2 linked regions of the Stegostoma tigrinum genome follow. The protein of the gene in region 1 interacts with the protein of each later gene in a pairwise test. Links are inferred from orthologs where the notes say so. Each region holds a gene or a part of one and is shown on either strand. Other genes may lie near its edges.

Region 1 (8,008 bases):
TTCAGAAACGGCTTGGTCACAAACATACCAGGCTGTAGAGGTTAGTGTATGACAGTGTAATTGATGGTATTCCTGTACACAATTCCAGTTAATGAATAAGACATACATTTTGCACTCATGCACACTTCTTCCTCGCTCCTACATTGTAATTTAAGCCACTTTTTTTTTTAAACTCTACATATTTTCACTTCTCTTTTTCCAACTATCCCTATGGGTGTAGTGTTATTCAAGATTTGGGAATATTTACACATGCCAAGTATTTGGATAAATTTTATATCTAGGCAAGGCAAAAAAAACCTCTGTAGTAACTGAGATAATGGGAACTGCAGATGCTGGAGAATTCCAAGATAATAAAATGTGAGGCTGGATGAACACAGCAGGCCAAGCAGCATCTCAGGAGCACAAAAGCCGGGCCATCTCCAGCATATCCCTCACCTTCCTGAACCCTTCAGTCTCCATCTCAGGCAACCAGCTTGTAACTGATGTCCATTTCAAGCCCACCGACTCCCACAGCTACCTAGAATACACCTCCTCCCACCCACCCTCCTGCAAAAATTCCATCCCCTATTCCCAATTCCTCCGCCTCCGCCGCATCTGCTCCCACGATGAGACATTCCACTCCCGCACATCCCAGATGTCCAAGTTCTTTAAGGACCGCAACTTTCCCCCCACAGTGATCGAGAACGCCCTTGACCGCGTCTCCCGTATTTCCCGCAACACATCCCTCACACCCCGCCCCCGCCACAACCGCCCTAAGAGGATCCCCCTCGTTCTCACACACCACCCTGCCAACCTCCGGATACAACACATCATCCTCCGACACTTCCGCCATTTACAATCCGACCCCACCACCCAAGACATTTTCCCATCCCCTCCCGTCTGCTTTCCGGAGAGACCACACTCTCCGTGACTCCCTTGTTTGCTCCACACTGCCCTCCAACCCCACCACACCCGGCACCTTCCCCTGCAACCGCAGGAAATGCTACACTTGTCCCCACACCTCCTCCCTCCCCCCTATCCCAGGCCCCAAGATGACATTCCACATTGGCAGATGTGCAGGTGAACCTCTGTTTAATGTGGTATACTGCATCCACTGTACCCGGTGCGGCTTCCTCTACATTGGGGAAACCAAGCGGAGGCTTGGGGACCGCTTTGCAGAACACCTCCGCTCAGTTCGCAACAAACAACTGCACCTCCCAGTCGCAAACCATTTCCACTCCCCCTCCCATTCTCTAGATGACATGTCCATCATGGGCCTCCTGCACTGCCACAATGATGCCACCCGAAGGTTGCAGGAACAGCAACTCATATTCCGCCTGGGAACCCTGCAGCCTAATGGTATCAACGTGGACTTCACCAGTTTCAAAATCTCCCCTTTTCCCTACTACATCCCTAAACCAGCCCAGTTCGTCCCCTCCCCCCACTGCACCACACAACCAGCCCAGCTCTTTTCCCCCCCCGCCACCCACTGCATCCCAAAACCAGTCCAACCTGTCTCTGCCTCCCTAACCGGTTCTTCCTCTCACCCATCCCTTCCTCCCACCCCAAGCTGCACCCCCATCTACCTACTTACCTCATCCCACCTCCTTGACCTGTCCATCTTCCCTGGACTGACCTATCCCCTCCCTACCTATACTCTCTCCACCTATCTTCTTTACTCTCCATCTTCGGTCCGCCTCCCCCTCTCTCCCTATTTATTCCAGTTCCCTCTCCCCATCCCCCTCTCTAAAGGGTCTAGGCCCGAAACGTCAGCTTTTGTGCTCCTGAGATGCTGCTTGGCCTGCTGTGTTCATCCAGCCTCACATTTTATTATCTCTGTAGTAACTGGTTCCATTATGTTCCTGAAACACATTCTCCTGGCATTCAGAAAGCAACCTAATTTCACACCTTGTTTTATGATTTTATGGATAAATAATAAAATGATTAGTAGGATCAAAATATTTTGCATTAATTGTTGAATTAGCTCTTTCTACAGTAAAGTTCTGCTTTTATAATTCCAGTTTACTTACTGGCACAAAACATTGTGCATCATAATGCCCGTTGCAAGTCCAATGTTTGCTTATCTGCACGCTTCAGGGAAAATAAATTCTGAAGAAAATTTTAAACAATTTAAAAAGTATCTAAATGAATGTGGATACCTTCCTTTAAAACAATGTGTTTCTGTTCCTGAAAATATGTATGTTTGCAAGTGGACATATTTGTACATTGGTTATTGGAGTGTTTGAATGTGGTATTCATTGGTACAATTGAAACTTGTTATTTACCCTGACTAAATTAGTTATTACGTTATTAAACATATTAAGATGTTCTGCTATATTTACCAGTTTGAAGAAATGCTATTTATACATTTAATTTGGTTCCAGGTCACATTTTTCGAAATACTAATCAACACATTTGAATATGTGAAGCAGAATCTTTTTGGTTTTGCCTCCCTCCACAAATTTATTTTCAGGCTATTGCAACACAGTGTAGCTGGAAAAAGAACTGACTTAAATTCTTCTGGTCTACTACTTATCTATTACCACATGTACAATGCACCCAAGGCCCGATTAAATTATGCACTTTTGTGTAAGATTTCAATCACCTACAGTACTCTATTTGTAAGTTGAAAATAATCCCTCAATAATTTGTTTGCAAAATAAATTTAATGTCCTCAAATTTGTAGAACTCAAAGTGCAGCAGGAATTGCTATGAAATTTGCACAGCCTTGCTCTTTCCAGGGAAATATACAATTATTAAAGAAGGGATTGAGGCAAAACCTCTTATGAGGCTTTTGATATAGTTGTCAAGATACTGATTGTTTTGAACTCTTCTTGTGCTAGATAATATGAAAATTTCATTAAAAAACTACATGGTGAATACAATTACTGAGATATTTTTCACCTTGGCATCTGTGTTTGTTGACAGGATTGTGAAAAATAAATGAATCCCTGTAGTATCATGGATGACAAAGTGTACTGCTAATAAGCTGTTTCCCTGCAGCCACACTCATGTTTTAAACATATTTTCCCATTAAAAAGATAAAATAAGTTAAAATGTCTAAAATCACAGCTAGTTTTGAGGACACTATGCTACAAGTAAATTGCTCACATCTTAGTAACTGACAAGACCCTCGCACTGTATTGGAAGTCACTGGTCTAGGTATTCAGCTGGGGTATAATCAGCTATCCTCCTATCCTCCTGGCTATGAAGAGCAAGAAACAAAATAAATACCGTATGTAGGCAGTTATCATTTTTGAAGTAAAATGTGAAGAGTTTTGTAAAGATGACCTCCCAGTTGACAGAGGCTGCATCAATCAGTAGTGTGTTGGAGTAGCCTAGTCTAAAGGCATGAATGAGGGTGTCAGCAGCAGGTGAGCTGTGGTAGGGTGCTGCAATGTGTAACAAGGAAACTGTTTGAAGTGGGTCTGAAATAATCTACTTCTTTGGTACTGGCAGTTGGAGTGATTGTAATAAGGTCAGCCAGGTGGACCTCTGAATAGGAGTCCCCTGATTGGGGCTGTTTAATCTGGTACAATCAGGATCCCAGGCTGGCACAAACAGGAGTGTCACAGGTTCTGTTCATGCTGAGAAAGCTGGTTCAGTGTCAAAGGTTTTGCATATATCAATAAAGAGTGACTTGGTGATGGCATACTGGCCTCTTGTGGAATTATTTCCAATGTCTCCACTTTCAACTGTATGCAGTTGGGAGAGGTGATGATTCAGTAAATTTGGAAGTTGTCATTACTATATGCTGTGCTTTTGGGCAGTGTCTCTAAGGGGCAGTATGCACAAGGAGGACGTGGTCAGAATCTTCAGGGACATTAGAAGTGTTGAGTGGACAGATGAGCCATTGCAAGTAGTAATCTTATTTAGATAGATAAGACTGAAATTCGAAAGCAATCCCACCCAGCTCAGAACAGAGAAGCATTGAAGAAGCATCGTGTGGTTAATCACAGACTGTATGTCAAAGAGGAGGGATAGGTATTTCTGTCAGAGTTATGTAGGATGTCATCTGTAACTGATAAGAGATGTTTTGTACAATTGCAAGCATTGAAATTGGGCTTAATAAATTTTGACAAGTTAAAGCATAAGACAGGGGAGCAGAATTGGGCCACTTACTCTATTGCAGCTGCTCGACTGTTCAGTGCTGGCTGATGTTTCTGTATCCTATTCTCCTACCACCTTCCTGTAACTCTTGATCCCCTGATTAATCAAAAACCTGTCCTCTAACACACGCAATGACTTGGTCTCCACAGCCTTCTGCTGCAAAGAATTCCACACGTTTAAATCCCACAAACTACAGTGATGGAGATAGTAGGGACTGCACGTGCTGGAGAATCTGATATAACCAGGTGTAGAGCTGGATGAACACAGCAGGCCAAGCAGCAGGAAGGCTGACGTTTCGGGCCTAGACCCTTCTAGGCCCGAAACGTCAGCCTTCCTGCTCCTCGGCCTGCTGTGTTCATCCAGTTCTACACCTTGTTATCTCAGCTACAGTAATGGGTCTTGAACAACAGCCCCAGCCTCTTAGTTAAGTGGCATTACCATTATATCGCTCTCTCCCAATTCATTTTAAGAATTACTACAAAACCTGAGCTCTGATTTGAAAGGCTGGGGGCTTTTTGTTTTCGAGGAGTTGCCGAGTTATAGGCGTGTGAAACAACTGAGGATGGAATCAATAACACTAGTTGGCTAAGTGAGGACCAGGAGGAGGAATTGGCAATAGAAAGTCTCCTATGAATACAATTAAATGCACTGGAGAGGAACATCGTGGTTAAGATGAACTCTGTATAAAAATGCAGAATACATTCTAAGCCACATCCACAATTCGGTACGTTAATAGAGAAATTTGCCGTGCTTTGCAAACAAATTACGACTAATTTTAAAATAAATGGTGAGCGTTTAGGTTTTATTATATAATAGTAGGAAATAGTGGCACATTTTAAAGAAGTGTTCGGTACCTTATTGCATTCAGTGCCTGCGTCGCCCTAACCGCCGCCAACAGCGCTACTCGCGTGCTCGGTTTAATAGACCGTTACTGCTCCATTCGCGCTTTACAGTTCGTCAAACCGCCTCGAGCGTCAGCAACCTTCTTTCATTTAACACGCACGCGCCAGCGATTATTTTCAAAACATTGCACTAGACTCTATATATTGTTTTGGGGGGGGAGAGAAATAAAAAAGTTGTCAAAGTGCCGCTGTGAATAGAGCACTAGCAAAGCTTGGGTGGTTGTCTTGGTAAAATGTCGGCGGATGAGGACACAGAGCTGCGGGACTTGCTGGTGCAAACCTTGGAGAACAGCGGCGTCCTCAACAAGATCAAGGTAATGCGCCATCACCCTAGGCCGCAGGCCGTCGTCGCCATTTGTTGCGGAACCGCTGGTTTGCAGAGGCCTGAGGAGCCGGTGAAGTTTAAGTCACCGGATAACGCGTTAGTTTAATGGACGAACTTAGAGGCAGTCGACAGCCCATGGCTTTGGGGTTTTAGCTCATGTCGATAGCTCTTCAACCACAAGCAAGGTGAAGGTTTCTCATTATTTCAGATCTTAACACTTGCCTCCCCTCCCATCCTTTATCATCAAGATAAATGCCCCTTTTTTAAAACCCAGATGCTATCAGTTCTGAGGAAGGGTCATCGGACTCAAAACGTCTGCTTTCTCTCCATTGATGCTACTAGGCTTGCTGAGGTTTTCCAACAATTTTTGTTTCTGAGACCCTACCCCTCGCCCTGACTTTTTATTTAAGGTCTTTTACAGTTGCTCCATCCAACTCAGTACGTTCTCTCTACTCCTCCCCTGCACACCAAGTTCTCATCACAGAACCTTTTTAAGGCCACAACACAACATTGAGAGAAATCAAATGTGTCAATTCTTGCAAGGAAGTGAATTGAGCCCAGTAGTAGAAGAAATTTGCTGGTTTCAGTGTGCTAAATAGATTCATGCTTTTAGCCTAATTAGCTTCACTTTTATGTAAGGCAGTCATCTTTCTGACTGTCCATTTGGCTTGAAACTTGGAGTACGTGCAGACGCTACCTGAAGACCCTTGAAGCACCATTGACACTTTTTGAGATGGATCCTCTGCATCAGCTGGGAAAACAGGCACACAAGCAAAAGCATTCTTGAAGCCGCTAACAGCCTAGACTATGATCACAAAAAAACTCTGTTGGGCTGCCATGTGCTTAGGATGCCTGAAATCCAACTTCCAAAACAAATCTTCTGTCAGCGAAAGCAGTTGCATAAGAGGACAAGGTATTTCAAAGACTCCCTTAAGGTTCGTTTCCTTCAAGAAATACAATATAGATGTCAATGCATAGGAGACACTCATTTAGAAGAAACTGACTTGGAGGAAACTCGTGTGAAGGGACAGTATTCTTTGAGCACACCTATTAGCAAGAGGAAGTATGGAAAAGAAACCGGGAGAAAGAAATGCCAAGTTCTCAAGGCCCAGGATCATTTGGCAGAAATACCTGTCAAAATGTATGGTTGGAGATATGGATGTAGAATCAGGCTCATCAGTTGTACGAAGATCTGCAGAACCCATGATCATTGAAAGTGAAATTTTGTATATGGACAATCATACTTGTTAGTTAATAATTATCGAGGACAATGATACATGTGTTGTATAGAGGAAGTCCTAGATTGTGTGTGGTATAATTTTGCCATTGATCCTAAATCAATGACTGGGATAGAAGACTACTATGAAAAAACAGTGAATTTATCTGTGTCAGTGTCATCACAATAACAAAGTCTGGCATTTTTTTTCACTTGAGAAAACAGCAATAAATGATATAAAAATGGAAAATGTTGTGTAGACTTAATATATCAAGCAGCATCTATTGAGGGGGGGAAAAGAAGTTAATGTTTCAGGTCAATGACCTTGCATTAGAAATGATTTTATAGAACCAACTGAAGCAGGAGTAGGCCATTTGGCCACTAACTTACTGTGACATTTGTTAAGATTGCTATTGTAGAGTCCTTAGTTCTACTTTCCTGCATGTGCCTAAAATGCTTTCACTCATTTGTCAATCAAGGATATGACCTGAAAGTTGGAACTAGGAGCAGTAGGTAATGTGGTTGTTGCTGAGAAAGGAGATCTGGCCGTGAAAGTGATCTCTGGTAGACATCTGATTGATCATGAGAAGGGATGCAAAACAATAAAAATGGTAAAAGAGACAAATGGAACTCCCATTGGAATCATAGAATCCCTACATTGTGGAAACAGGCCCTTCCGCCCAACAAGTCCACACTGAACCTCAGTGCGTCCCAACAAGGCCCATCCCCTTATAATCTCCGAAGCTAGGCATCCCTGAACACTGGACAATTTAGCAGGGCCAATCCACCTAAACTGCACAGTGGGAGGAGACCCACGCAGACACAGGGAGAATGTGCAAATTTCACACAGACACCTGAGGTTGGAATTGAACCTGGGTCCCTGGTGCTGTGAGGCAGCGGCACTGACCATTGTGCCACCTTGCCACCCCTAAATTGGAGGGAACTTCTTTCAAGATAGGCATTCCTGGAAGAGAAGTGTCTCTATACTTAACGGTGATGCATTTTCTTTTGTTTTATTTCATCCTTCTAGAATCCATATTAGGTGTTGATGTTCATATTTGATATTCATAATTACAAGTAGAAGCTGATCCTGTTATGATGCCGCATCGAATGAGATAGACAATAAGGGGATGACTAAAATTTTGGTGAATGTGGAGAATATTAAGGAGAATGAAACTCTGGATGAATGGGTTCAAAAAGGATATCTAAAGTTTTGGACCCATGAAAGCCAGGTAATTGGTCACATGAGAGGGAAAGATGCTATAAAGATCGGTCAGTGAAACAAAATCTTGGAAAGATTTGCATCATCTTTCCTATTTGCAGGGAGACCAGGATTGAACACAGGATTTTGGAAAGAGTTTTTAGGACTAGCGGGTGTTAAGAGAGAGAGTTGGAGATCTGTATATGTATTTAAAGTGTTATAGTCCTGTTCCTGCATCCTCTTTAAATGTATACGAGTTGGGATGTCATGTTGCA
Region 2 (7,843 bases), on another chromosome or scaffold:
CCTAATGATCTTGATACAAGAGGCTGAGGACAGGTGCTCTTTTGTCTGAAACTAGCTGTATAGTCATTTCCATGATTAGAGTTCGAAAACTGGAAGGGAGCAAGTGCAGGCTTTCATAGCTAGCAGAAGTTTTGTCTCTTTGATTTAAGATATGTTCTTCCGTCTTGAGGAGATATTCTTCCATTTGACAATCTGATCCCGTAACTGGGCAACATTTGCTAAACAATACTGAGTGTTCTAAGAATTAACTGACAATCAACAATATAAGGTCGTGAGTTGGTCTCGCAGAGTGGAGCACTTTCATGCACTAGAAAATGTTAAACACAGGTACCTGTTATTTGCAGACAAAACGTACAGATATTGCACAAACTTCAATTAAACAAAATAGAGGACAGATATTTTCTAGCTCTTCCTCGGATAATGTCTTGAATAATCAGTGTCAACCTGATTGGTTTAAATTTATACAAAGCTTGGCAAATTAACTGTTAGTCATCATTTAACTAGTACATTATCTATGGCAACATCATATCAAGCATTCAGTACTCTACTCATTCAGTTTAAAATACTATTCCCTTCTAAATTAGTATTCTTGCAAATTGAGTGAAAGGTGAAAATCTTCAAAAGAATGTGTCTTTTTCATCAAAAGACAAGTTAATACTTAATAATCACTATTATAATTCTAATATTATCTTAATGATGGTGTTAATTCTCATCATAATTCTTAATATTAATGGTGGATAGACAATGCCAAGAGTGATTCATCACTGAAAGGAGTACATATGATGGAAGCAGCCAGACTAGCTCAGAACAGATAGTGATGGAGTAAATTAATTCAACCTCACTGTCACTGCTAAGCTGAATTGAAAGGCTGCAGTTATTGGGCAGACCGATGTCATTACCTATGGTCCCCATGACACACTGTCCTGTATTGCCCTTCCCATTCCCAATCACAGTCTCAGCTTCAGCTAGACTGTTTGCACCTTCTGTATTTTGTATAATGTGAACTGATTCTCTTTCCCTAACCTTTCCAACACAATAACATCATCTGCCTCTGCAGTGTTTGCACTTGCTGTTGAAAGCATGTCACCACCAAACCTGACTACTTCAGTATTTTCTTGGCCACCCTCCTCTTCATCACCACTAAATGTCAACTCATTCAAAATCTGGCTATCTTATTCTGCATCAGGTCCCATTCAGTCATCAACTCTTGCTGCTCTGATGTAGATTTGCTCCCATCCCACAACAATTCAGAATTACACAGATAGAAAGAAAAGTGCAGGAACAGTCCTTTCAGTTCTTTGGTCAATGTTCATGTTCATTACTAGCTTCCTTCTACCTACCTATCTCCACCTAACCCCATCAGTCTTCAGTTTCTTTCTCTCAGATGTATCTTTCTATATTTCCCATAAATATTTCTATACTATTCACCTAATCTACTCCATATTGTAACTGGGTACACGGTCTAAATCACAGATTATTGTTGTTGTGGCACCATTGTCTTACCAGATAATAGGGCTGCTCTCATTAGAGAGAGACAACTGGTAGTTATTTAACCTGAGGGCCACTGTACATCAGGCAAGGGGAAGAGGTTGAGGACAGTCCTTCATGGTAACCTATTGAACCCATGCTGTCAGCATGACACTGCTTCGCAAACCAACTGGCCAGTCGACTTGCTAAACTGACCCCCAATTACAGATATTAATGTTATCTAGTTCAGAATCCTACCACAGGTGAAAACTTTATTTTCTATGTTGTCATGATTTTAAAATTGCCATCCTCACGTTTAAATCACTTCACACCTCCGCACTTCCTCACCTCTAACCTCCTTTAGATCTACAACCGTCTCCAAACACCCCGTTCGCCCAGGCCCCAGGTTCTGGAATTTCCTGCTAAACCACAGCTTCATCATCTCTACTAATATTTCCTTCTCTAGTGAAACAGCACTAAGCAGTGCCTTTATTGTAGAATACAAGTTAATAGAAGTATGTAAATAAGGTAATTTAAAGCGCGATTCTGAAGTGATCGAAGATCAAGGAGATAGTTCTTGAGGCAGAATCTTGACTTGTATAGTTAATCTTTGTTTAAACAAAAATGTCACGTTTGACCACTGACTAAAAGACTCTTGCAAAACTAAATAATTTCTGTCCGAGACCAAATCATAATATACTTATTAATTTTAAAATATTGATGTTTATACAGCATTTTGTACGAAAAGAAAGTCCAGACAGAACTTTACAAAAGGTGGAATCCAAAAACGAGAATAAGTGATTGATACAATTTTACTTTCACTGGCAGAATCTCTAACTGGGGAACATGATTACAGAATAAGATGAGACTCATTCAAAACAGATGTGAAGGAATTCTGAACTCCAGAGAGTTGTGGAGACTACTACCCAGAATGTATTTAAAGAGGAAGTAGATTTTTGAAAATTTGAGTGCTATGAGACGCTACCACGAAGGATGTAGGTAAGCTATGATCCAATGGAAAAGATTAAAGGGGCTAAATGATCCACTCCTGTTCCTGGTTCTTATGTTCTTTACACTGCTATAAGGGAGTAATAAAACGCCCGCTAATATTGGTAAAACTAATCACTGATATAAATCTAAATGCTATCAGTTCCAAGTAAAACTTTCAGTAATCACTAACATAGTTTCATATCTGGAGTCATTGACTAAATGGAAACATCAACTACTGGTCTACTTTACAGCCCGCAAAGGCCCTCCCTCAGCAATGATCTGTAATGAGATATATAAAACTCTCATTAATCATTAGTTATATTTCAATTTTGCTTTTTTAAAATTTATAAACAAACCTGAGTGCGGCTAAACTCGGCCTTCACAACCTCTTGATGCCCATGGCAACCCAGCCGATTAAAAAGACCCCTTCTGCGACTGATTGATCTCCTGCCTGACTTTGAACTATAATTTACTGCCACCGTTCACCCATTTTGACCTGAAGAATCACTCGGACCAACGACATAGCCGTTAGTCCACCTTGTCCCGCTGTCCCACCGTCAAGGAGAGGCGGTGAACCGAAAGGATTAACTGGCTGTGCGCTCAGGCAGTGCCGAGGACAGCTGCGGCCTGCGTCCTAGGCCGGACCCCCACCCCCCCCCCCCGGGGCTAAATTTAAAAGCCAGTGTCGGGCTTGGCGCGGGGAGAGGCCGGTTATGGATGGGTATTGGGCTGTGCTCGTTGTTGAGTATCTGTGTGTCGCTGCTGTCACATGTAAGAGTAATTATAGGGTGGCCTGTGGGTCTCGGAGAGCCGGCGGGGGGCTGTTTATGAGCAGAGACCGAGAAAGAGCCTGATTTACTCTCAGTTGAGTGGCAGGTCGTGGGCGCCGTCCAGTTTTCGGCGATGTCTGACGGCGTTGTCAGGGAAGGCTAACGCCTCTTTGAGCAACGCCCCCCCCCCCCCCCCCCCCAACGCTCCGAGCTGGGGGGAATAACAGTGTCTGCCTCCGCCTCATCTCTGAGAAATGGCTGGAAATGCAACTCAGAACTTGGGTCAACTGAAGTGAAGTCGTGTGCTGGCCTCCTCGTCAATAGTAAACTGTTTCTGGAAAGGTTAAGTCTGCCACAAAATTAAACTTGTCCCTCAGCGAAAAGCCCAGTAGAATCGTGCAGCACAGACCAGGCCCTTCGGCCCATCACGCCTGTAACGCCAAAGCTGGACCAAATCTACACTTTCCAACGCTACGCCAATAACTTTGAATGTTGTGGCATTTAAAACTGCATATGTTGGAAATCTGCAGCAAAAACAGAAATTGCTGGAAATACACACAGCAGGTTTGGCAGCATTACTGGGGGGGGGGGAACAGGTTGACATTCTTGTCCAATGAAAGGTTAAAAGATGAATCGTCATTAACTTGAAATGTGGAGTGTCTGTCTTTCTTTCTGCAGGTGTTGTCAGACATCCTTAGTATTTCCAGCACTTACTGTTTTTGTTTCAGTTTTGGCCCTTATGAAGGTGGGATGATCTATAGAAACCAACTCTTTGGCACCAACAAGACAGCCTAGACATCCCAATCTGACCTGGACTCCTTTGTCAGCATTTGGCCTATATCCCTTGTTCCTTCCTATTCATATACCCATCCAGATGCCTTTTAAATGTTGTGTTTATACGTGCCTCGACCATGTGCTCTGGTAGCTTGATCCAATAATGCATCACCCTCTGCATGAAAAAGTTACCCCTCAGGTTGTTTTAAATCTTCCCCCATCTCACTTTAAAGCTATACCATGTAGTTTCCCCATACTCTTGGGGAAAAGGCCTTGGCTATTCACCCTATCCATATCTCTCTTGACTTTATAAACCTCTACAAGGTCACCCCTCAACCTCTGATATTCCAGGAAGAGAAATCTCCAGCCAATTAAACATCTCCCTCCAGTCCTGGCAACATCCTTATAAATACTTTCTGCATCCTCTCAAGGTTAACAACATCCTTCCTACAGGAGGTTGACAAGAATTGTGTGCAGTATTCTAAAAGTGGCTTAACTAATGTCCTGTGAAGCCATAACATGCCTTCCGACCTCTAATACTCATTGGTACTGACCAATGAAGGCAATCGTCTGCTGACACTTCGTTTTCAAGGCTGACATTGACTCTGGAGCTTCTGAAACCATGTGTCATTTGTGGAGATGAAGTCCACAGCTCAAAATTGTCATCTTCATTGATGGGCAGCTGACATTTTCCATCAAGTCATGTATGGAGCAGCAGTCCTTCCATGTCAGCAGAGAAAGCATAAGTCACTGGTACGGAGAAAATGAATAAAACGGTAGGAGTTAAGCTCCATGTTTTATTCCATTTTGATCTGAAAATTGTTGGGAGCAGCCTTTGAAATGAATGATGCCTTTCTTTTTTTGTAATGGAAGGCCATATGTGGGGCATACAAAGAGAACGGTTTTTTTTTTGAGGTATCTGGTAGTGGCATGCCTCCTCACAACATTTGATTTGATCAGCCAGGTGCTAGGACTTGTAACCCACAAATGTGGCATCACAATGCTACCTTATTTAAAGAAGGCAATCTGAAAAGAATTCACCATATTAAAATGGTACCATCTAGTACAATGTATGGCTGCATCACTGTAGAGCTGATAAAATGAGAAAAGGAGCTCCTGAAAATCAAAATCTAGCCCTTGAAGAAAAATGATCTTGACCTCAATTTAATGCATTACAATATTCAGTGACAAACCACTGACACCAGTTACAAGAACTCGCAGCACTAATATTCTCAAGTTCAGAAAACACTCAGTGCTAGTGCTACTGCTACTCCTACTAGGTTCTGGGAACACACAGCCCTAATACTCCTAGGTTTAGGGAACATGCAGTGCTAATGCTTCAAGTTCAGAGAATGTTGGGCCCTTGTGCCACTCATTTAAGAGAAAGCATTTTTTTCTTTCAAGTTGGGGAACACAGTGCTCACATTTGCCTTTCTCAGGCCTTTCTGTTCCTGCACAATAGTTAAGATTGTTGTAGTTAATTTCTGTCATCTGTTATTTTAAAATGCATCACCTCACATTTGTTAAATTTCATCTGCCATGTTTTTGCCCACAACATCTTTCTGAGTTCTTCCATGATCCTCCTCACTGTTTATATTTTGAAATATTTTGTCATTGCAGACTTTTAAATCATGCCTTGTATGTTCAGCTACAGGGTTTAAAAAAAGTGTGATCCTGATTCTGAGAACAACTGGGGAACATCACTGTATACCGTCCTTAGCCAACTGTACATGTCCAGACTTTAGTTTTACTAACAATTCTATTATTTAGAACTTCTATCACATGCCTTTTGGAAGTTCATATAAGATTCAATTACTCTTACCAACTCTCTCCATTACTTGTTCAAAGAACTCAATTTTGTCAGAAGTTGGTGATCAATTTGGAAAGGTATGTTTTTCTGTGTGCCGGACTGTTGGCCAAATTTCAGGTATCTTCCGTATAATTAGTTATAAATGAGGTCTATTATTCTCACATTAATGTTTCAATATTACAATTGTGATTGAAGAAAGAAAAACTTGTATTTATATCACATCTTGTCCCAGGACATCTCAAAGTACTTTACAGCTAAGCATGTTAATTTGAAGTGCAATCACTGATGTTAAATAGTAAACGTGTAATCAGTTTGAACCCAACAAAATTCCATAAAGAACAATATGATGTTGACCACAATTTTTTGAGGGGTCTATATTCGCAAAGATAGCTGCTTTTGTTTGGAAATTGTTATGGCACCATTAATATTCATTTGTGAGAGCAGGCAGGGTCTTGGTTCAGCATCTCAGCTGAAACACAGTATTTCTGACAGTTCAGCACTCTTTTTGTACCAAATTGGAACATTACCCTAGTTTTTTCAGCTTGATTTTCTGGAATGGGACATGAACTCAAAGCCTGCTGAGTGAGAAGTCTTCCCCACTGAGTATGCCGATACTTCAAAAGAAAGTACTTCTTTGGTTGATAATTGCATTGGCATGCTCTGAGGTCATCAAAGACATGATATAAATGCAAATGCTTCCTCCTTTCCTGCTTTCTCTTTATTCTGTGCCTATTTTAAGGAATAGTTTGATGAATTGATTTCCTAGACATGTCATTATGGCAGTTCTTTAAGTGGCATTCTGCCATTTCCTACTTACATGCTATGTGAAATCTCACATCTTCAGCTTTTCTTGACATCTAGCTGCCCTAGAATTCAAGTAGTAAGCTTTTAGATCTTTACAGATTTCAGTAGCATGATATTTGGAAGAAAATTTTCTCCAGAATATGCTGGAAAAGACTTAGTGGGAGAAGGGGACACAGATGGGAAATTTCTATGCATCTCCTAAATTTGAAAAAAAAATTCTTACCCAATTCCACCTATTAAATACTGACTCATACTGAGTGTGGAATGTTACTGTTTTCTGTTTGTGCAGGTAATGATCCTTTGCACTCTGAGTCCTGGCTTCGATCAGCGAGTTTGAACAGACATATTGCAAAGAATGGATTTCATAGGTAAGAACTGACAGATTATAAATATATTTCTGCATTATTTTAACTCGAGATGACTAATGGAAGCAGAATTGGTTGAAGCAGGGCGCTTTTCCAAATCTTGTCTTTGTCATATTAGCATTCATTTAACTGGACAAATTAGTAAATAATGTAACAGATTTTAGGGCTGAGAATGTATTCTTTAAGAAAAGGCACATATGGATTATTAAATAGAAAAAGTCTGTCATTATACAGAAGTGCGTAATGCCGAGTTAGAATTATGTTAAAGCGCACAAAGATGCTGTATGTTACCAGGCTTTTGAATAGACCTCTAATGTTAATGTTGATCCTCCCTGTCTGCACGTTCTCGGCAGCTGTAACATTGTATCCTGTACTCTGTTCTCTGTTATATCCTGTACTCAATGAAATCAAATCTGACAGGCATTTATCACAGTGGCAACGGTGGGGGTAAGAGGAGCTAGAATAAATTTCAGAATAAAATTCAGAAAATTGGTACTCTTGGAAATACGTTGAAGGAAATAAAACACAAGAGATGCATACAGCAGAGGGTGAAAACTAATGAACTAAAAAGTAGCAACTATCTGCAGGGTGCATATAGTAAGGCAGTGAAACCACTATGATAAATATATTTGTCCTATGTAACTTTGAGGAATACAACTCATTGAAGTTTTAGATCTTTCCAGATTTCAGTAGCAAGATATTTGGAAGAAATTTCTATGCATCTCCTAAATTTGAAAAATATTCTTACCCAATTCCACCTATTAAATAGTGACTCATACTGTGTATGGAATGTTACTGTTCTGTGTTTGTACAGGTAAAATCATTGATCAGTTTCTTCTATATAGGCTACATAATTCTACTAG

The links. The genes of interacting proteins can lie anywhere in the genome.
Region 2: the proteins of cep43 (region 1) and cep19 interact in binary tests that used the Homo sapiens proteins (3 or more experiments, as listed by UniProt). The two-hybrid records come from large-scale screens. The link is inferred for Stegostoma tigrinum from reciprocal best matches to the Homo sapiens genes CEP43 and CEP19.

The regions. Positions count from the first base shown.
Region 1 is NC_081362.1:27,317,654-27,325,661, reverse strand, and holds the start of cep43 (FGFR1 oncogene partner), read left to right. Parts: upstream 1-4,997; 5' UTR 4,998-5,224; coding exon 5,225-5,305; intron 5,306-8,008. UniProt on the Homo sapiens protein: Required for anchoring microtubules to the centrosomes. Required for ciliation.
Region 2 is NC_081367.1:5,361,638-5,369,480, reverse strand, and holds the start of cep19 (centrosomal protein of 19 kDa), read right to left. Parts: upstream 3,007-7,843; 5' UTR 2,814-3,006; intron 1-2,813. Other genes in the region: pigx (phosphatidylinositol-glycan biosynthesis class X protein), read left to right, coding at 3,171-3,228, 6,905-6,983. UniProt on the Homo sapiens protein: Required for ciliation. Recruits the RABL2B GTPase to the ciliary base to initiate ciliation.